5 linked regions of the Ovis aries genome follow. The protein of the gene in region 2 interacts with the protein of the main gene of each other region in a pairwise test. Links are inferred from orthologs where the notes say so. Each region holds a gene or a part of one and is shown on either strand. Other genes may lie near its edges. The genes, in order: LDAF1, COQ8A, TFIP11, AGTRAP and TMEM239.

The links.
Region 1: the proteins of COQ8A (region 2) and LDAF1 interact in binary tests that used the Homo sapiens proteins (3 or more experiments, as listed by UniProt). The two-hybrid records come from large-scale screens. The link is inferred for Ovis aries from reciprocal best matches to the Homo sapiens genes COQ8A and LDAF1.
Region 3: the proteins of COQ8A (region 2) and TFIP11 interact in binary tests that used the Homo sapiens proteins (3 or more experiments, as listed by UniProt). The two-hybrid records come from large-scale screens. The link is inferred for Ovis aries from reciprocal best matches to the Homo sapiens genes COQ8A and TFIP11.
Region 4: the proteins of COQ8A (region 2) and AGTRAP interact in binary tests that used the Homo sapiens proteins (3 or more experiments, as listed by UniProt). The two-hybrid records come from large-scale screens. The link is inferred for Ovis aries from reciprocal best matches to the Homo sapiens genes COQ8A and AGTRAP.
Region 5: the proteins of COQ8A (region 2) and TMEM239 interact in binary tests that used the Homo sapiens proteins (3 or more experiments, as listed by UniProt). The two-hybrid records come from large-scale screens. The link is inferred for Ovis aries from reciprocal best matches to the Homo sapiens genes COQ8A and TMEM239.

What each region holds. Positions count from the first base shown.
Region 1 is NC_056077.1:19,455,663-19,459,738, forward strand, and holds the start of LDAF1 (lipid droplet assembly factor 1), read left to right. Parts: upstream 1-1,273; 5' UTR 1,274-1,434; intron 1,435-4,076. UniProt on the Homo sapiens protein: Plays an important role in the formation of lipid droplets (LD) which are storage organelles at the center of lipid and energy homeostasis. In association with BSCL2/seipin, defines the sites of LD formation in the endoplasmic reticulum.
Region 2 is NC_056065.1:29,192,186-29,196,459, reverse strand, and holds the start of COQ8A (atypical kinase COQ8A, mitochondrial), read right to left. Parts: upstream 2,803-4,274; 5' UTR 2,637-2,802; coding exon 2,583-2,636; intron 1-2,582. UniProt on the Homo sapiens protein: Atypical kinase involved in the biosynthesis of coenzyme Q, also named ubiquinone, an essential lipid-soluble electron transporter for aerobic cellular respiration.
Region 3 is NC_056070.1:66,361,925-66,365,433, reverse strand, and holds part of TFIP11 (tuftelin-interacting protein 11), read left to right. Parts: intron 1-1,066; coding exon 1,067-1,220; intron 1,221-1,489; coding exon 1,490-1,646; intron 1,647-2,962; coding exon 2,963-3,090; intron 3,091-3,439; coding exon 3,440-3,509. UniProt on the Homo sapiens protein: Involved in pre-mRNA splicing, specifically in spliceosome disassembly during late-stage splicing events. Intron turnover seems to proceed through reactions in two lariat-intron associated complexes termed Intron Large (IL) and Intron Small (IS).
Region 4 is NC_056065.1:41,204,305-41,208,594, forward strand, and holds the start of AGTRAP (type-1 angiotensin II receptor-associated protein), read right to left. Parts: upstream 2,808-4,290; 5' UTR 2,733-2,807; coding exon 2,598-2,732; exon of another isoform or gene 2,577-2,597; coding exon of another isoform or gene 2,550-2,576; intron 1-2,549. UniProt on the Homo sapiens protein: Appears to be a negative regulator of type-1 angiotensin II receptor-mediated signaling by regulating receptor internalization as well as mechanism of receptor desensitization such as phosphorylation.
Region 5 is NC_056066.1:52,098,493-52,102,655, forward strand, and holds the start of TMEM239 (transmembrane protein 239), read right to left. Parts: upstream 2,810-4,163; 5' UTR 2,674-2,809; coding exon of another isoform or gene 2,583-2,673; 5' UTR 2,478-2,582; coding exon of another isoform or gene 2,338-2,477; 5' UTR 2,306-2,337; intron 2,245-2,305; coding exon of another isoform or gene 2,135-2,244; intron 1,982-2,134; coding exon of another isoform or gene 1,820-1,981; intron 504-1,819; coding exon of another isoform or gene 347-503; exon of another isoform or gene 284-346; intron 1-283. Other genes in the region: CPXM1 (probable carboxypeptidase X1), read left to right, coding at 347-503, 1,820-1,981, 2,135-2,244, 2,338-2,477, 2,583-2,673, 3,241-3,391, 3,476-3,564, 3,885-4,008 and 1 more.

The sequences.
Region 1 (4,076 bases), on a different chromosome or scaffold from region 2:
TTAACTGCTTAGTGTGATGATTATTTTGCAATATAAACAAATATCAAATCATACACCTGAACTAATACTTATATGTCATATGTTATATGCTAACTCTACTGCAATTAAAAAAAGGAAAAAAAGAAACCAAATAACCTTGAAAAAACATAGGTTAAAAAAAGGACAATACATTAAATATTTCTGGGCTCCTTCCATGTTCCTGATAGGTGCTAAGTTCTTTACAGCCATTATTGCACCAGTCCTCACTACAACCCTGTGATTGCTCTTCTCTTTCTTCAAGAGCTATTTTCCAGGGGGCTATTGACCCAAGTCACAGATGAAAGTAGATCAATACATGTCCCCAGATGGACGGAACCTGAGAACTGTGCAGTAGTGGACCGATTTCTCAAGTCTATCCTTCTCTCCATTTTACAGATGAAGTGGTTGCAGAGAGATAACTCTTCCATGGCCTCATAGTAAGAGTCTGACTTGGGACCAGAGTCTAGCACTGTTGGGTCCCGGTTCACTGTCTTCACCAATATGTTCTATGGCATTTGTTCTCAACCTAGACAACTGTGCAGGGAACATTTGCTCATGTTTGGTGACATTTTTGGTTGTTTGCAGGGAAGGAAAGTACTACTGGCATCTAGTGGTTGGAGGTCAGGCATGCTGCTAAACATCCTACAAGGCATAGGACAGTCCCCTCAACACAGAACTTTTCTGCCCAAAATGTCAATGGCGCTGTCCCTTGAAAAAACCCTACGATAGGGCTGGATTTCAGGTCAGGGAACATGCATTCTGGCTCTGGATTAGACGTTTTTATGTATAAAATGGAGATACTAATCTAACAGAGTTTTTAAGGATCTCATTGGCTCATGATGTTTGCATTTGAGAAGTAGTGGTGAAAACCTTCCAGTAAAGGAATCAGCTCATCACTTGTCTGTCCTGAGCTCCAGAGATGCTTCCAGAAGAGGTAGCTCAGGGTATTTAGGCAGAAGCCCTAAGACCCTGTGAAAACCCATTTATACCTGCCAGTTCACCTGTCTCAGAGATGGCCGGGGCACCCTCACCACAAGCCAAGAGTGTAGGAACGACAACTCTCTCTGCGCCTTAGTTTCCTCACGTGCTCCTCGTTCGGGTTTCTCCCGGAAGCTCCAAAATGCTGAAGGAGGCAGCCCTGGGAGAACTGCGGAGGCTGGAGCCGAGCGAAGGGCAGGGGCGGGGAAAGGAAGGGGAAGAGCGGGGCGGGGCCACGCGGCGGAGGTGGGTAGCTGGCTGGGGCGCAGGCGAGGGCGGAGGCTCACGCGCCGACCCCACGGCTCCGTCAGCTCTCCTTTGCTCCTCCTGCACCACGGCCCCGGGGACCAGGTGAGAGCTCGGGCTTGGGGAACCGAGGGCCCCGGCTGGCTAGACCTCTGGGCCGGGCTGGACAAATGGAGGAGCGCGGGGGAGGAGGTGGGTTGAAAGGGGAGTCGGTGACATACACACACACACACACACACACACACACACACACACACGCACACACACACGCGGAGTCCCATCCTTCCCGGCCGCTGCTAGACACAAACACACACCCCCCTCCTACTAAGGGAGGTCTCATGCCTCCCCAGCCCCTGCGACACACACACTCCTACACCTGCTACTGCTTTCGGTAAAGGGTTGCCACCCCTATCCAACCCCGAAGACCCCTCCCTTTCTTGGGAAACCTGGTTGGGAAGTCTCCACACCTCCTCTTTAGGAATCATAAAAAAATGGATGCCCTCATCCCTACGGGGTCTCCCTGCCCCGTCGCTGCAGGAGGTACCAAAGGTGGATTCTCCTCCCCAAATTAATGACGGGGTACTCGGTGCGACTTCTCTCCATCCCGGCTGGAACGTTCAGGGTTTCCGTTTGTCCTGGGACGGGTGGGCGAGGAAGAGAGGGGGGCTTTTAGCGGGTGGGCCGTGGAAGGGAAAGGGCGGTTTGGCTTGTGTTTTCCTGGCTCAGCCCGGAAGGCCTGGAGAAGGCAGAAGGCGGGGAACTGTGCGGTGCGTCGGATTAAGGGGTTGCCCCCTTCCCTCCTCCTGAGACCTGTCTTTGCTTGAGGAGGCCCCTCCGAGGAGTGAGTGACTAGGGGGTCTGGGGATTGGTGGCCAGCTGATTGCATTTTATGGCTGTGGCCAATGGCTTTCTACCCACGCTATCCACATTGAACTTCCCAAACCGGTCCCGATGGCCCCTAGGTTTCCAAGGCCCTGGGAACCAGTGATGGGAGCTGGGCTTGTTCCTGCCCGTTGCAGATTTGAGATTAGGGGAGTTGAGTGCTGGGAACATGGCCAATTCTAATCTGTGCCAGCTGCAGCTTCAGAGACAGAATATAGGGATGAAGGGTCTAGTCCTGTCCAGTCCAGGGGATTCCTGTTTCACAAAAGGGATTGTAGCAGAGAATCTCTAGCTGGGTGATTAAAAATGTGCTTTAATTTGCTACTAGACCCTATTGGAGAAGGAAATGGCAGCCTACTCCAGTCTTCTTGCCTGGAGAATCCCATGGACAGAGGAGCCTGGCGGGCTGCAGTCCATGGGGTCGCAAAGAATCCGACATGACTTAGCAGCTAAACAACAACAGCAGACCCTATAGATATTAGGAGATGTGTCGTCCCTGGTGCCTCAGTGGTGAAGAATCTGCGTGGAATGCGGGAGACTATCCACACTGAACTTCCCAGACAGGTCCGGATGGCCCCTAGGTTTCCAAGGCCTTGGGAACCAGTGACTGTAGCTGGGCTTGTTTGTGCCTGTTACAGATTTGAGAGTAGGGAAGTTGAATCCCTAGGTTAGGAAGATCCCCTGGAGAAGAACTCCAGTATTCTTGCCTGGGAAATCCCATGGACAGAGAAGCCTGGCAGGCTACAGTCCATGGGGGTCCCAAGATTCCACATGATTTACCAATTAAACCACCATCATCACTTCCCATCTCGCATAATTACCATGTGGGATGTTGAGTATGGTAAATAAATATGAACGTCTCTCAGTTAATTTTGTCCACTGTGATAGAATCTTTTAGCACTTGTGCTATAGGTCAGGAGATAAGTTGTAAGGAATAATGGAAAAGATATCTCTGTGTCCAGCCCAGCCTTACAGTATTGTTCTGGAAAATATAAAATAATAATGTATTTGTTTATATAAAAATTAAAAAGGGTTTAAAAAATAGATATATAATTTAACAAACAGCTTTTATTATTGGGACCGTCCTGGAAATTCCAGGCCATTGAGTCACAGAGTATAATTGTGGCAAAGTTTGTCCCTCTCTTATTATGGAAATGAGACTTACAAGTAAATAGAGAGTAATTTATGGCATAATGTGATTGGGAGCCAACCTATTTAGTGTGGGTAGTAAATAAAGAAATTGGCCATGGTCATATGTTTGAGAAGGCTTTCTGGCAAAAAAAAAGGCAGTGGGACTCAAAATAGTGTCTTCAGCCTTACTTTCTTCTGTATTCTTTTCAGCATTTTATCAGGCTAAAAAAATAAACATAAGCTCTCAGAGATGATACCATTAACATTTTATTATATGTGCATCTAGATCTTTTATTTTACTGTGGATATATGTATATTATGGATATATACATAAAATGTAATAATCGGTATTTTATAATTTTTTCACATCATAGACATATTTTCATTAAATAAGTGTCAACATCATCTTAATGGCTATACAATACTCCATTGTATGCTGCTGCTGCTAAGTCGCTTCAGTCGTATCCGACTCTGTGCGACCCCATAGACGGTAGCCTACCAGGCTCCCCTGTTCCTGGGATTCTCCAGGCAAGAATACTGGAGTGTGTTGCCATTTCCTTCTCCAGTGCATGAAAGTGAAAAGTGAAAGTGAAGTTGCTCAGTCGTGTCCGACTCCTCGCGACCCCATGGAATGCAGCCTACCAGGCTCCTCCGTCCATGGGATTTTTCAGGCAGGAGTGCTGGAGTGGGGTGCCATTGCCTTCTCCGACTCCATTGTATGAATTTATCATTATTTAGCCTGGAAACTCAGGTTCCTGGAAAATAAATTTTTGGGTCAAGGTGTGTACAATTTGATATTTTGGTGGATACTGCCTGGTTAC
Region 2 (4,274 bases):
CTGCTAAAGTGCTACAGTCATGTCCGACTCTTTGTAACCCCATGGACTGTAGCCCACCGGGCTCCTCTGTCCATGCAGGCAAGGATACTGGAGTGGGTTGCCGGGCCCTCCTCCAAGGGATCTTCCCAATCCAGGGATCGAACCCACATCTCTTACATCTCCTGCGTTGACAGGTGGGTTCTTTACCACTAGTGCCCCCTGGGAAGCCCACCCACAATGTCACAGAGGGCTTTTCTTCAGGGCAGGACATGGAGGGGCACCAACCCTTAGGGTACACACGATTTCCCAGGTTTGGACCAAACGCAGCCCCTCTCCCTCCACCCAGAAGGAAATGGGACAATGTTTTTGAAAGCAAGCTGAGGGCTCTGGAGACAAGAACTCAGTCACTATTAGAGAATCTACAATACTCTGAAATGGCAAGTTGAGTGAAAAACTCTCAACTTTCTCATGAATCCTTCTCTGCATGGACAGAACAAAAAAAATAAGTCATATTCAAGTATGAAGAATAAAAAGATTTTTTTCAGGATCATTTCCAACTTTAAATATACTGTAGGCCCATGACCTCAAAGCAAAAAGGTCAAGAGCTCAGGAGCCTATAACCCCACAATGAACAACATGCTTGTTAACACACCACTCAGGTTTGAAAGTTGTGGGGAGAAGCCCACCCAGATGCACCCCACTCAGGGTCCTGACCCTGCTTCAGAGTCAGCAGACCCCATTCCCACTACTCCCTCTCCCTGCATGGGCACAACTCCTAATGGAGCAGGACCCTCACATTCCCCCCTCCCACCGGCTCTTCTTTCTCTGGCTCTCCCAAGTTCCTGGCTGTTGTTTAGCAAGAATGCTGGAACTATTTCCAGATGCCACTGTCAGATCAAGACAACTCTCTAAATATTCCTGTCTAATTTTGCACACAGCTCTTGTTTCAACTGACAAAGATAATGACTCAGTGTCCACAGCTCTTGATGGAAAATCATCCTGCCGAGTTTGGAGCTTCCCAATAATAAGCTTCTCTAAACTTCTTTTTGAGAAAGGAAGACTGACCTCCCTGTCCAGATTCTGTTCTACAGGCAAGAAAGGGTACCCAAAAGACCCCCTAGTAAACCAAGGAGTGTTATGGGAAAATCCTGATACATCCCCATAGGACCAATCAATGACAAGAAAAGGAAATCCACGATAGGGACTTGGGGTGTTTTTCCTGTCCAATAATCATTGTTTCTTCACTTTTTGGCATCCCCATCAGTTTGGGACTTTGGAATTTGGGGCATAAATTCTGGGTTAAAGTGAAGACAAACTCTAGACTCAGAAGTAAAATGACTTTCCCTGCAAAAACAAATGGCTCATTGTCTCTGACACTGTCTCTGATGCTTTAATCAACGGGAAAAGCATGTGTCCATTCTGCACCAGTACACTTCTGGGTAGCCTCTTTCTGGAGGTGTACACGGTACAAGTAAATACACCCACATACATGTTTGAAATGCAGACACTTTCTCTCTGCAGACATGGGCCTAGCCCCCTCTCACATCATAAAACGTAATAGATGTCTTAGTAAATAAGTGAGGATGAGCAAAGCATCCCTTTGCAAAAGCCACTTATGGAAAACTGAACTGGCCTTTCAGTCAGCACTGACAGCTTAAACTTCTTTGCTCACGGTTTACAAACCACCCCATGGTTATTTCACATGCATATCTCCCACAGTCTTGCAAAGTCCCCAAAGACAGAAACCACAAGTCTCCCATTTCTTTTGGACTTCCCAGGTGGCACTAGTGGTAAAGAACCCACCTGCCAATGCAGGAGACATGAGACCTGGGCTGGATCCTTGGGTTGGGAAGATCCCCTGGAGAAGGGCATGGCAACCCATTCCAGTAGTCCTACCTGGAGAATCCCATGGACAGAGGAGGCTACAGTGCATAGGGTCGAAAAGAGTCGGACACGACTGAAGCGACTTAGTATGCATCCCCACTTCTTTTGTATTCTGGATTCAGTCTCTGCCATGCATTCAGCTAATGCCCATAGGTTTCTAACTTCCTATCTCACTCCTATCCCCCCAGGTATGGAGAAGAGGGTAAGGAAATTCCCTTGAAGGCCAACCAACATGGCTTCTATCATTGGTTTAGGACAGAGAGCACAGTGCTATCTGCTACCTAAACTTCTCAGCTGCTCATGGACAGGTCCCAGGGGGCCTCTGGCAGCACAGGAAGACTCTTACAGTTTTATCTCTGTGGTTCTCAACCAAGGTTGACTGAGTCCTCCAGGAGACATCTGGCAATGTGTGGAGACAATTTTGGTTGCCACAACTAGTGGGGGAAGATGAGCGGGGTACTACTAGCATCTAATGGATAGAGGCCAGGGATGCTGCTGAAAATTGAGAAACCCTGGCTTATGCGACACACAGGGAAGCATTCAGACCACCTTGGTTCACTTTTCCTTTGAGTTGTCCAAGGTCAGGCCCCAAATCATAACCCTGTTTTGTCTGCATCATTTTCAAAGTTGAAAATACCCAAAGCCATCATCAATCATAAAGGTGTTTCCCCTGAGAATCACCAGTCCCCCCCCCCACCCCGCACCCTCCTGCTTTGTACCTTCTCCAGAGATGGGCCCTCCTGCCAGCATAACAGCTGGCAAGCTGGCATCATGCACCCTCAAATCCTTCAACAGCAAGTTAGGCCTGGCAGGTCCAACTCTTCAGTCTTCTGTCACGCACACCCAAGGCCCAACTGAGCATAGATGAGTTTCCCAATGGGCTGCAGGCCCTACCCAGGATGAAAGGCTGCACAGAAGCCGCTCAGCCTTCAGAGGACTGGCACCTGTCATCCAAATGGAGAGTTCCAGCATCCAGACCGGCCCCCCCAGCAGTATTCCCCATCCCACAAGGTACATGGGAGGACCGGCCTCCGTTTGGCAGAGGGGCAGGCACTGGGGAAAGGCACGACCATTGACAAGAACCCCAGTGTTTGAAGAAGCAGGAGGACGGGCCAAAGAAAAGCCAACAGAGAACAGAACCAAAAAGGACCCTCATTCCCATGTTCATACAAAACCCTCACCAGTGAAACCCAACAGCTGGCTAGGGCCAAGGGCGTCAACGTTCTGACACAAACCTCAGGCCAGGGACAATTAGCGCCCCTGAGACAGTGCAAAGGGGTCTAGGCGTGAAGAGAAATGTCATCGTAAGAAAGCGAGGCAGGAAAGCAGTACTGGCGACCAAGAAACAAGGCATCAGGTCACCAGGGCTGCTAGGCGAGTTCCGAGGACCCAAGGCTTTGGCAGGGAGCCTTCACACCCTCCCCGAGACAGATATGGGCTGTGGGAACGGGGGTAGCAGACAGCCGTAGGCGCCCACCCTGCACTCTGAAGCGCGCCCACCGCGCCGTGGCCCGGAACTCGGGGCAAATGAAACTCGCAAAGGGGAAGCCGCGCTGTCACTTGAGGATGCAAGAAGGGCCCAAGCGGGAGGTTAGCCCTGCTCTGGCCTCAGGCAGGCGGCGCCCAGGGCACGCGGCGGCCGGCGGGCAGCAGCCTTACCCGGCTGCAGGAAGCTAGGATCCGCGGTCACCTTCGCGCAACCTCCGCGCGCTCGCCTCAGCGCTGGCGCCCGGCACGCGCTCCGGATCTGTTTACCAACTCGCCCGCGCCCGGAGACCCAGAGCCCTCAGCCCTGCCCCGCGGGCCACTCCCATTGGCTGCGCCGCCGCCTCAGCCCAACGCCGCGCGTCGCGGGGCAGCGTGCTCGGCCCGTGCGCTCGACCCGCGGCCAATGGGGTCTGAGAGCGGAGAGAGAGGAGCCAATGGGAGACCTCCTCAGCGCGCAGGGCCCCTCCCATTCTTCCCCCTCGCTGCTGCTCTCTCCCCTAGTTGAAAAAGCCGGACTGAGGACCACGCATTGGGTTTAGAGAGACATCTCGCGTGTGCCCGGAGACCTCTGCCTTCTCCAGACGGGACGGCAAACGCAGCTGCGGTGACCGCTGTCGGCTGTCTTGTCCCGGGCTGGTACTCCCCGGGCTTTGTAGAGGCGGAGGAAGGAGCCGTCGCGACTACAGCGGGCCCGCTCCGCTCAGGCCGTTATGTAATGAGGAGAGGAGCCCTCTCCCGGTTCCCCAGAAGGGACTCACAGAGCTGGGAAGCCTTGCGGGCCTGCTGAAGGCACGTCCGCCTCCGGCGCCCGGCCCCGCCCACTTGCGTTTCGCTTTGGGCTGGCAGCATTGGCCGGCCTCCCACGCCTCAGGCCGGCGTGCCCTAGCAGTGGCCCTAGCAGTGTTTGGGGTTATTTGCCTGTG
Region 3 (3,509 bases), on a different chromosome or scaffold from region 2:
GTCTTCCTACGTTTACATTCCAGTCCCGTGTGATGAAAAGGGCATCTTTTTTTGGTGTTAGTTCTAGAAGGTCTTATAGGTCATCATAGAACTGTTCAACTTCAGCTTCTTCAGCATTACTGGTCGAGGCATAGACTTGGATTACTGTGATATTGAATGGTTTGCCTTGGAAACGAAGAGAGATCATTCTGTCATTTTAGAGGTTGCACCCAAGTACTGCATTTCAGACTCTTTTTTTGACTATGATGGCTACCTCATTTCTTTTAAGGATTCTTGCCCACAGTAGTAGATATAATGGTCATCTGAATTAAATACACCCATTCCAGTCCATTTTAGTTCATTGATTCCTGAAATGTCAGTGTTCACTCTTGCCATCTCCTGTTTGACGGCTTCCTATTTATGTTTATTATCATCAGTTGTTATGATTACTGATGTTTGAATGTATTCCTCCATTTTACTAGTACTATTAACAGGCTTTATTTCTTAAACCTTTTCCTGCCTTAATCGAATTTACCAAGTTACTGTTGTTTAATGTTAATTAACTTTTGGCCACACTGGGTCTTTGCTGTGCAGGCTTTCTCTAGCTGAGATGGGGCTGCCCTCTAGTTGCCATGTACAGGCTTCTCGTCGTGGGGGCTTCTTTAGTTGTGGAGCGTGGGCTAGAAGCCGCATGGGCTTAGTTGCCCATGGCATGTGGGATCTTCCCCGAGCTGAGACTGAACCTCTGTCCCCTGTGTGGGCAGCAGATTCTTAACCACTGGACGACCAGGGAAGTCCTCAAGTCATAGCTTTTGTTTTGAGGTTTTTTTTAATGTATTAACTAAAAGGAAAGGCGGACAGTCACATCATACTTAGAATTTTTAGTCAACTCTATGCCGTCATTGGTAAGTCTGAAGTCACAGAGTTGAGACATCAGGTCAAAGTGTCGAATGTGATTACAGGGGAGCCGGGTCTGGGGCACTGAGGACAGGAGTCAGCGCTGCTCTTTTGAAATGGATCCCATGAGGTGTGCTCTAAGGAGCTCTCCTGAGAGAGTTCTTACAGACCCCCTTGTGTTTGCCTGCAGGGCCCGCGACTACTCGGCCCCTGTCAACTTCATCAGCGCGGGGCTCAAGAAGGGGGCGGCAGAGGAGGCGGAGCTGGAGGACTCCGATGATGAAGAGAAACCCGTGAAGCAGGATGAATTTCCTAAGGATTTCGGACCAAAGAAGTTAAAAACGGTAGCATCTTTATTGAAGGGCTGTGACCTTTGTAATGTCCCCAGAAGGTCGCTGTGGCCCTGGCATCTGCTGGGGGCCGGTCATGTGGGCCTCTCCCTGTGGGAGCAGGTTTCCCAGGGGTGGCTGTGCCGGGCAGTCTTTGCACTGTCCGGAGACGTCCCTGGGGTCCTTGTGGTTCATAGGGTACTTCTCACAGAGCTCCGGGACTGCCCGGCCATGGTTGCATCAGCCGAGCTTGCTTGCTTAGGTTTTTCCTTCTTTGTTTTCAGGGTGGCAATTTTAAGCCCAGCCAGAAAGGTTTTGCAGGAGGAACCAAGTCTTTCATGGATTTCGGCAGCTGGGAAAGACACACAAAAGGAATCGGACAGAAGCTTCTTCAGAAAATGGGCTACGTGCCCGGAAGGGGCCTGGGGAAGAACGCTCAAGGTGTGGTGCCCCGCCCGTGGGCACTCGGGGGGCAGGCAGGGGCAGGGAGGGGCGCGCTCTGCCTTTGCTCTGCTTTGTTGCTTTTCTGCCAGAATGTGACAGTTGTGCTCTAAGCTCCGCACTTTATCAAAACTCAGGTTACATAAGATGCCATATTTCAGCATGGGGGAGGGGTCAGGCTTCATACAGCCTGATGGGCTGAAAACAAGCTTCTTTCTGGCCTGCCCAGTGTTTCTAAAAAGTCAGATCAGTTGCCAGTGTTTAAAAATCAGTTTCTCCTAGGTTGTAGATAAGCTACAGCTTAGGAGGTTGGCAGGGATTGAGTTAGCTGACAACTCCTGCCCCGGTCAGCCCCTACAGTTTACTTATTCTGCAAGCTGTCTCCACACCACAGCCCACTCTCCTTGTTCACGTTACTGTGCCTGGGCTCTGCTCACAAAGGGGCAGGATAGGTAGCTTAGCTGCATGAAGCATCCATGGACTTGAGTGAAGATTGGAAAGGTGGCCTGGAATGAGAGTGAAGGCTGTTCTAATTTGGGAGCTCAACAGTATGAGCTGGAAAGGGTCTGGTGGGAAGTTTGGGGTGGGGGCAATTCTTCACAGAAATGCTGTAGTCCTGTTTGTAAACTTTTTTACAAGAAAAATGCATTTATTTTCAAGGCGCAAACTAGTGTAGAGCAAAGCAAGCGTAAGAGATAGGAACTACCAATGTGAAATATTATACGAGTGTAATAAGTATGAGTGATGAGTGATTGTCACTCATTCGTGTCCGACTCTGTGACCCTATGGACTGGAGCCACCAGGCCCCTTTGCTCTGGAATTCTCCAGGCAAGCATCCTTGGGTGGGTTGCCATGCCCTTTTCCAGGGGATCTTCCCGACCCAGGGATCGAACCCTGGTCTCCTGCACTGCAGCCAGATTCTTTACCAGCTGAGCCACCAGGGAAGCGTGTGTATATATATAATATAATAAGAAAACAGATGGTGTTTAAATGGCGGCTCCCCCTCTCTTTAGTCAGAATCAACATACCCTTCCCGTAGTGATTGGCTTCCAGGCAAACAGCGTAGGCCAGAGTCGGTTATAACTACTCCCGTCTGGTAAGTGAGTGACCGCAGTGGAAGCGGCCCTCAGGGCCTGCGTGCGCTCCTGTTGGCACACTGCTCTGTGATACCGGCAGCAGGGCCAGGTGGGGCGGGCAGGAGCGGCTCCTCTCTGGGCGGTGTGCTGTCCCATGGGAGGACCAGGGAGCGGGTCTCCGCGCGTGGCACACCCACATGACGGCAATGACCGCAAGTCTGTCTCTCTGAAATCCATCAGGCATCATTAACCCAATCGAAGCCAAGCAGAGGAAGGGCAAAGGTGCGGTGGGGGCGTACGGCTCGGAGCGCACCACCCAGTCCCTGCAGGACTTCCCTGTGGTCGACTCGGAAGAGGAGGCCGAGGAGGTGGGTTGGGAGGCGGCCCTGCTGGCCTGTGCGCCTGTTGGTCGGGGTTGGTCTGTCTGCTCGTTCGTTAGCTCAGCCAGCGTCCGGGGTTCCGGGGTCGAGCTCACGCTGTGCACTAGCACGGGCCAGAGGCTGGTGTCCCACCATCAACAGGGAACACAGCATACAAGTAACCAGTGTGGTCAGAAATGGGGGTGTGGGGACAGGGTCTCGCCTTTGTAGGTGGGAGTGGGTGTCAGGCAGCCTCCTCGGAGGGGTCAGCATCACACAGCACCATTCTCAGCACGGAACCGTGTGGAGGTCTCAGCAGCCCTTTCATCTTCTGATGGACCATGTCCCTCTGACTCAGGAATTTCAGAAGGAGCTGAGCCAGTGGAGGAAAGACCCCAGCGGAAGCAAGAAGAAACCCAAGTATTCTT
Region 4 (4,290 bases), about 12 Mb from region 2:
CAGCCACCTGGGAAGCCCCGAGACAAGGCAGTCCCTGACTATTGTGCAGTCAGGTTCCGGAATTCTTAACCCTCATGCTATACTAACCCCCTGCACCCTCCTCCCAAGGGCCTTTTCTCACAAGCCCTCATGAACCCAAGTCTAGAACTTTCTAAACTCTCACAATGACGTTCCTTCAGCTCAGGACTTGCCTCATGTGTGGCATTGGGTTAGGAACTACCTGGAGGGCCCGGGGCAGCTGCTTCTGTTCACCTGGCACCACTGCCTACTGTGGGTGGGCTGGGCACAAGCAGGCACTGAGCCAATACCCCAGGAATGTGTGAAAGGAGGGCAAGGGTAGTGCAGGGTTGGGGGGTTGGGCATTTTCTGAGCTCCCAAGGGGTTCTGATCTCAGAATAGCCCACTTAGACTCCTGTGGGAGGCCAGAAAAAACAACAACAAAAACAGAACCCCTAGTTAATCTTTAATTTCAGATAATGAATAATTTTCTAGACTGTTCCAAATATTGCCTGGGATATAAGGTCCACTGGAGAAGGGATAGGATAACCCACTCCAGTATCCTGGGGCTTCCCTGGTGGCTCAGCTGTAAAGAATCCTCCTGCAATGTGGGAGATCTAGGTTCGATCCCTAGGTTGGGAAGATCCCCTGCAGAAGGGAAAGGCTACCCACTCCAGTATTCTGGCCTGGAGAATTCCATGGACTGTACAGTCCCTGGGGTCACAAAGAGTTGGACACGACTGAATGACTTTCACTTTTCATACTTAGATTAAAAAGTTATTCATTGTTGATATGAAATTCAAACTCAACTGGATGTCCTCAATGTCACCTGGCAACCCTAGCTGTTCACGACCTCTCAGCACTTACTTGTCTCTGATTGGTAGCAGCTAAGACCCTTAGAGATATGGTGTTTTATTTCCCAAGTCAAAGAAAGGACCAGCTATTTCACTGTGGGCAGTGAAAGCCGGCAAAGCTCACATCTGTGGTCACGTGTGGCCTGTGAGGCCCACAAAGTTTCTCCAAAAAAAAAAAAAAAAAAAGCCACAAACAGACTAAGCCCTCCCACTGGGCACTAACTGTCAAAGCAGAAGTTGGCCCTAACTAATGGTGGCCAGGAAAAGACAGAGCTTTGAAGTCTGACCGTGATGGGTTCAAATTCTGACTCTGCCACTTAATCTCTGTGGGGCCTTGACAAGTTACCTATCTGGTCTGAGCTGAAGTTGGCTCAGCTACAAAAATCTCAGAAGGTTGATACGACTAAATAAATAACCCGGCACACCACAGACGCCCTAAGAATTAGGGCTCACTCCCTCGTCAGTTCCTGCTCCTCTGTCCCTTTCCTCCTTCCCCCTTAATAATTATTTTAGGCAAGTCTCTAATCAGAGAAAAGGTAGTCGGCATTAACTGCACACAGCCTGGAACAGAGTGAATGTTGATACCAATGAACCTCAGTTGCCCTCGTGTAAATTTCTTCCCTGCTAAACCTTCAATCCAAGCCCATTCCCTTGTCACAGCCATCTCTCCCCCTGCAGCAGTTGACTGGAAGCCTCGGAGAGGTCTGCTGAAGCAAGTGTTCAATATTAAGGAAATGTGCCCACGTGAAGTCACAACACAGACCATGTCTAATAATCCAAATATGGATGATGTATTGTTCTGTAGTCATCTATCTCTTACTTTAGGACCAGACACCATGGGTGCATAATGCTTTGTCAAGGGTGAATAAGAGGGTACTCCTGCATACAATCTCAAAGGAAACTGTACCTAGGCCGCAGATGGCAGGTCTGGTCCAAGGCTAAAACCTTTCTGACCAAAGCTAAAGGCTTCAGCCTCTCAGTGGCAAACCCAGCCAAGAAACACTGGGCTGGAGGAGGGCGGGGAGAAAAAGAAGAACAGCCTTTGGCATTCTTACAGCTCAGGAAATGAAGACACCCCAGCGACCTACAGTGTTTTCCTAAATGTGCAAAGTTGGGGGATTCTGCTTTTGAGTAAATTCTATTGGTGTCTGTGTTGCTTAAGAAATAAAGACGTTGAATCTATCAACTCTGAAAAACCATCTGTCTGGGATCATTTGATTTCCTTAACTTGATCTTCCCAACAAGAGAGGCGGTAAGGGCAGTGTTGGGGGTCCAGGTGAAAGCTTTACCCCTCTCTCGGTGGAAGGCAGGTGTCCTGCCTCCAAGTCCAGCCTCGGGCTCTCCTTGGGTCCCTCCCCACCACGCTCTCCTCTTTCTCCAGAGAAATTCTGGGCGCGCAGGCCAAAGCGAGCCTCAGGGGCTCAGCGCTCCCAGCTGAACCGGTCTTAGGGAAGAGACGGCTGCTTCCCTCCTCCAGCTCCCTCTCGGTCTTTCCTGCTGGCCTTCTGGATCTGTCTTCCTGGTATGGTCTGTCCGCCCACCTCCTTACACCTGGGCTCTGTTCGTTCTCTTTCTCCCCACCACTCCACTTTCCCCAGATTCTCGGTCCTCTACCTCTAAAATCCTCACCTCTAAAATCACCTACTAAAAGCGCAAATACCCAACACGCTCCGGGAGACCCGCCCCGCCCATCGCCACCTTCAGGTTCACGGCTGGCAGCTCCATCGCGACCCAACCGGACAGCACCTGCGCCACAACCGCGGGGGCTCCTGGTCTCCGAACTCGGGAAACAAACTTGCCCAGCCCCGCCCCGCCGGCTGCCCTTTGCCAGAGCTCCAACCCCAGCTGGGCTGTGGGGGGGGGGTCACGTGAGTAGGTCATGTGACGACGGCCCGGTATCTAGGAGACGGCGTCGTGCTGCTTGAGCCTTCACTGCGCCACTGCCCAGGTAGTTACGGGGCGGGGCCGGGGACGGGGGCGGGGGCGGGCCGGGGCCGGGGCGGGGGCGGGGCCGGGGGCGGGGGCGGGGGCGGGGTGGCGGGCGGCTGGAGAATATCCAGATTTGTGTCGCAAAGGGCGCAATATCTCGCCGAGTTAAAATCCCAGCAGGTGGGCTGACGGGACCACCTGCAGCCAGGAGAACTTGGGGGAACCTCCAAGTACAATCTGCAGATGTGGTAACAGCTGGTGTCTCATCCCTGAGGGCACAGTCTCTCCTCCCTCCTTCCCCAGTGAAAGTGAAGACGGTTACCTACCTCATAGAATCCTTCTGAGGATGAATGAACTAATTCATGTTTGAAGAAAAAATACTGACACTTACTTTAAAGGTAAGGAAGACTTATTCAAGACTGTTGGGATCCCCTTGGGTCTGTCCCGCTGAGTGCTTATTCTTATTTCCAGGAGGGGAGAGACCACGTGGAAACCTGAAAGACTGGCTGGGTGGGTCCTAAGATCCTATCAAGATACAGACTCTAGATACAAAGAGCGGAGTTTTCCAGGTGGGTGTGGAGTCTGACACGACTGAGCGACTTCACTTTCACTTTTCACTTTTATGCATTGGAGAAGGAAATGGCAACCCACTGCAGTGTTCTTGCCTGGAGAATCGCAGGGACGGGGGAGCCTGGCGGGCTGCCGTCTATGGGGTTGCAGAGAGTCGGACACGACTGAGGCGCCTTAGCAGCAGCAGCAGTGGGGTCTTCTGCAAGGTCGCGGAGTCCGCTGGCCTATTTGAATGTCCCTTTTGGAGACACAGCTGTCCAGCCCCCTGAGCAGAATAGCACATCTGCCAGAGTAACAGAGAGCTGGTAAGCTTCAGAGACCGGACAGATAGCTACACTGGGCACGATTGTTGGGATTCAGAGCCCAGAGGACTAGCTGGACCAGAGAAAAGAGTTTGAGTCCTAACTTTGTCCACTTACTGGTTCTACTTGAGCAAGTCACTTTGCCTCTCTGTGCTTCAGTTTTCTGATCCGTAAAATGAGAGAAATAATAGTATCTTCCTTGAAGGATGGTTATTTTGAATTTGTTAATAAGGATTTGTTAATATGTAAAAATGTTTAGAACATTGCCTGGCAGACAGCCCTTGATCAGGACTTGCTACTGTTTTGATATTCATTATTAGTTAATTATCATAAATTATTGTTACTGGCATAGTACCTAGAAAAGAGGAATTCCTCAGTAACTAGTGGATATTATAACATTATTGTTTCCTTCTAAGAGATGTCTCCTATAAACCCTGGATCCTGCTGCTGCTGCTAAGTCACTTCAGTCGTGTCCGACTCTGTGCAACCCCGTAGATGGCAGCCCACTAGGCTCCCTCGTCACTGGGATTCTCCAGGCAAGAACACTGGAGTGGGTTGCCATTTCCTTCTCCAATGCAAGAAAGTGAAAAGTGAAAGTGAAGTCACTCAGTTGTAGAGGTGTTTAATCCAAGGATGTA
Region 5 (4,163 bases), on a different chromosome or scaffold from region 2:
CTGAGTAGAATCCAGGGAGCCTGGGGCCTTTGCGACGGTAAAGGGCAGAGCCCGAGCGAGGCGGGAGCTCGAGGGCGGATGCGGAGGGGCGGGGGGAGTGGAGATGAGGGCAGGGTCGGTGGGTGCGGAGACCCGGGGCGGCCAGCCTGGGCCCTCCCCTTGCTCCTCCCTTCTCTTCCTCCCCTCCCCTCCCAACCCCTCGGCTCCCGGGTCCGAGGCCAGCGAGCCGGCTGTGGGCGGGCGTGCAGCGGCGGCAGGAAGGGGCGGGGGGCTCCGGAGCCCCAGCAGGAAAAGGCGAGCCCACCGGCCGCCGCGAGACCAGTGCGTCCGCGCCCTGGACCCCGCCATGTGGGGTCTCCTGCTCGCCTTGGCCGCCTTCGCGCCTGCCGTCGAGGTGGATCTAGGGGCGCCCAGCACCTCCGTGCTGGGCCTGGCGACCACCAAGGCCCCGGTCCCGACCCCCCGTAGCAGCCCGGCTCAGCCGTCCGCGGGGAAGGAGAAAGGTGAGCTTCCGTCCTACCCACGGCCCGCTTCTCCCGCTAATCGGTTGTCCCACTCTTCCGACCCCCGTGTGGCGACCCCTCCCCAGCACGCGCGCACACACCTCACACACGCCACACACGCCGCACTCTGCCTAGCGCCTGGGTGGCGACTCTGCCCCACGCGCACACACTCCCTGCGCGGTACAATGGCTGCTGACTCAGCAGCCCTAGTTCCCGGCCAGACCAAGTCAGCAGTCCTGGGACAGGAGCCAGTGGGATGCTGCTTCTTCCAGCCCCAAACTTTCTTGTTTCTCGGATGGGGAAACTGAGGCTAGAGCCAGGAGGAGGGTAGAGAGAGGTGCAAAGACACCGAGGAGGGTGCAGAGCAAGACTGTGTGGGCTTGAGCCAGCGGTTGAAAGGAAAGAACAGGGGAAGGGAGGAAGCGCTCTCTGCCAGGTGCCCTGGAGGGACGCGGCTCTGCCTGGGGTGGGGACCAGGAAGGCTGCCGGACTTCTCAGCTTCTCAGAGGTGGCAAGAGAGAGGAGGAAAGCACGGGGATTGGCAGCCTCAGAGGGCTTCTTGGGAGAGGCAGGTGGAACTGGTTCTGAAAGGTAGCTCTGAATTAGGAAGAGCTGAAGAGGAGCGCAGCCAAGAGGGAAACAGTATGTGCAAAGGTACCAACCCCTGACACAGTTATGTGCAGTGTGTGTGTGGGGGGTGGGGTGGGCAGCTGTGGATCTCAGTGGGGAACCAGTGGCATCTGCCCTGTGCCATGAATGCTTTATACTGAAGGGCAGGCAGGGCAGGGGTCCAAGTCTGGAAAGCTGGAAAACCTGGACAGACATGAGTTTGAGGACAGGACCTCTCAGCACAGTGATGGAAGTGGCACAGAGGCTTTGAGGGCATGAGACTGAGCCTGGAGCTAAGGAAGGCTCCCCGAAATGCATCTGGACTGAGATGTGAAGAAAGAATGGGAATTCGAAAAGAAAGTCAAAGGTGATGGATATACGATAGGGAAGGGGACAGCCAGGAAAAGAAGGAGTTAAAGAACTAACTTCAGCTCTTTGGAGCAAGCAAGTAGTTCCTGGTGGCAGTGTAGCCCTCTATTGGTGAGGGCCAAGCAAGTAGTCACACCAGAGGGGAGAAGGAATCAAGGAAGTGGCTGGAACAGTAGGTTGGGGTCAGACTGAGGGCCTTAAAGTCCATGCTAAGGTCCTTGGATACGTGTGGTGGGGCCTTCTGTGGACTTGCAGGTTTTCTTGGGGTGGTAGACCGCTCCATTTGAGGTTTCCTGCCATCCTTTCCTTCCCTGCTGCTCTGCCTGTTTGGTCTCCAGGGACTTCAGAACAGCATGTCCGGATTCGAGTCATCAAGAAGAAAAAGATTGTCACGAAGAAGCGAAAGAAGCTAACTCACCCCAGACCCCCAGTGACTGCCAGGCCTTCAGTGACCACCAGCCCTACAGGGACCCTTGACCTCACTGAGAAGCAAGAACCAGGTACCACCACTCCAAGGGCCTTGCCCAGACTTGCAGTCTCTGGGACATGAACTAATGTAGCTCTTGGCCACACGGGCAAGCTTGGGTTCAGCTTTCCACCTGCTCTGACCACTGTTTCTCTGGTCCCAACTTACTGATTTGTCCCTGTCCCAGACTGTCCCCCTTTGGGCCTGGAGTCCCTGCGAGTTTCAGATAACCAGCTCTACGCATCTAGCAGCCAATCCTTTGGTCTTGGACCACACAGAGGACGGCTCAACATCCAGGTCAGCAAGGCAACCCCTAGGACCTTCTTCCCTGCCCCTCCCACCTTCCCTTAAGGCCTACCCAGTTCTGATTGCTGCGTCCCGTGCCCACAGTCAGGCCTGGAAGATGGTGATCTTTTTGATGGGGCCTGGTGTGCCGAGCAGCAGGATGCTGAGCCATGGCTTCAGGTGGATGCTGGACACCTCACCCGCTTCTCGGGCATTATCACACAGGGCAGGAACTCCATCTGGAGGTGAGGCAGGACAGCTCCAGGCCAGGAAAGTTATGGGCAGACTCAGGAGGACTGGGGTGGGAGGCTTGGGGGCCACCCATGATCTCTACCCACCTTTCCTGCCAGGTATGACTGGGTCACTTCATACAAAGTCCAGTTCAGCAATGACAGTCAGACCTGGTGGGGGAGTAAGAATCGCAGCAGCGGGATGGATGCGGTGAGAAGTCCCATGGTGGCTGGGGCCCTCTATGCTGGGAGCTGGGCTCCTGGCCCACTGTAGGGTGCTGGGCTGGGCTTGGACTCCTCTGAGGACAAGACACAGGTGCCCACTTTGGCATCCCAGGAGAAAGGGTGGGTGGCACCCAGCAGACAGCCTCAGGAGCCAGGTTGCTTTGGACCATGCCCGCATCCTTCCCAAATACTTCGTCATGCCACAGCTTCCTGCTGGAACACCCCTTCTGGCGATGGGCCTCAGTCCTTGCATCACTTCTCATCTCCTCAGGCTACAGTGTGGGATCCTGGCCAGCTTCAGGATTGCCTACTGCTGAGTCACATGGCCATATTGGTCTAATGAGCTGTGACTAAACTGGAAAGGATGACTGCCTAGGGCTGCCTGTTAGCAAAGGATGTGGGCAGCAATCTGTGTTTGACGCAGAGAGCAAGTGTCTAGCTGAGCCCACTAGGGTGGGTTTTTCAGTGAGCTCACAGGCCTGAGCATCTTCCTGGGCCCTGAGCCAGGCTGCCGGGGTTCAAGCGGCCCTTACAAAGGACTTGATGCCCTCAGGTATTTCCTGCCAATTCGGATCCAGAGACACCAGTGCTAAATCTCCTGCCTGAGCCCCAGGTGGCCCGTTTCATTCGCCTGCTGCCCCAGACCTGGCTCCAGGGAGGTGCATCTTGCCTCCGGGCAGAGATTCTGGCCTGCCCAGTCTCAGGTGGGGAGAAAGACAAGGGTTAGTTGGGCAGGGCACACCCTCCCCTGGGAATTCACCATTTACTGTGAACTCATCCTCTACCAGATCCCAATGGTCCGTTCCCTGAGGTTCCCGTGCTGGGATCCTCCGACTCACTAGACTTCCGGCATCATGATTATAAAGCCATGAGGAAGGTAACCCCTATGACCCAGGAGGGAGGATCTGCTCATCTCAGGTCTCCTGCCCACCAGGGCATAACTTGCTATGATTGCCCTCGTGTCCCTCTCCATCTCACCCTCTTTTTGACCCCTAAACTTCTACGATTTCCCTTGCTTTGGTGCCTCTCTTATTCTGACCGTTCCTTCCTTGGCTCCTGCCCCCTCCTGTATTGCGCCAATGGTGTCCCCATCGTATGGGCCCTCGCAAACTTTTGAAGTCCTTCTATGGCCTCGTGTGGTCTGAGCCCTGGGTCTGCTCCTCCCATGCCCCTCACCATGCTACACTCACCCCCCAGCTGATGAAGCAAGTGAACGAGCAATGCCCCAACATCACCCGCATCTACAGCATCGGGAGGAGCCACCAGGGCTTGAAGCTGTATGTGATGGAAATGTCAGACCAGCCCGGGGAGCATGAGCTGGGTACTGGCAGGTGGGGTGGAAGAGGTGGGCACAGCAGCAGGGAGGGGCAGGTGCATGAGCCAGCTGCAAGCCCCTATTTGTTCCCAGGAGAGCCTGAGGTACGCTATGTGGCCGGCATGCATGGGAATGAGGCCTTGGGGCGGGAGTTGCTCCTG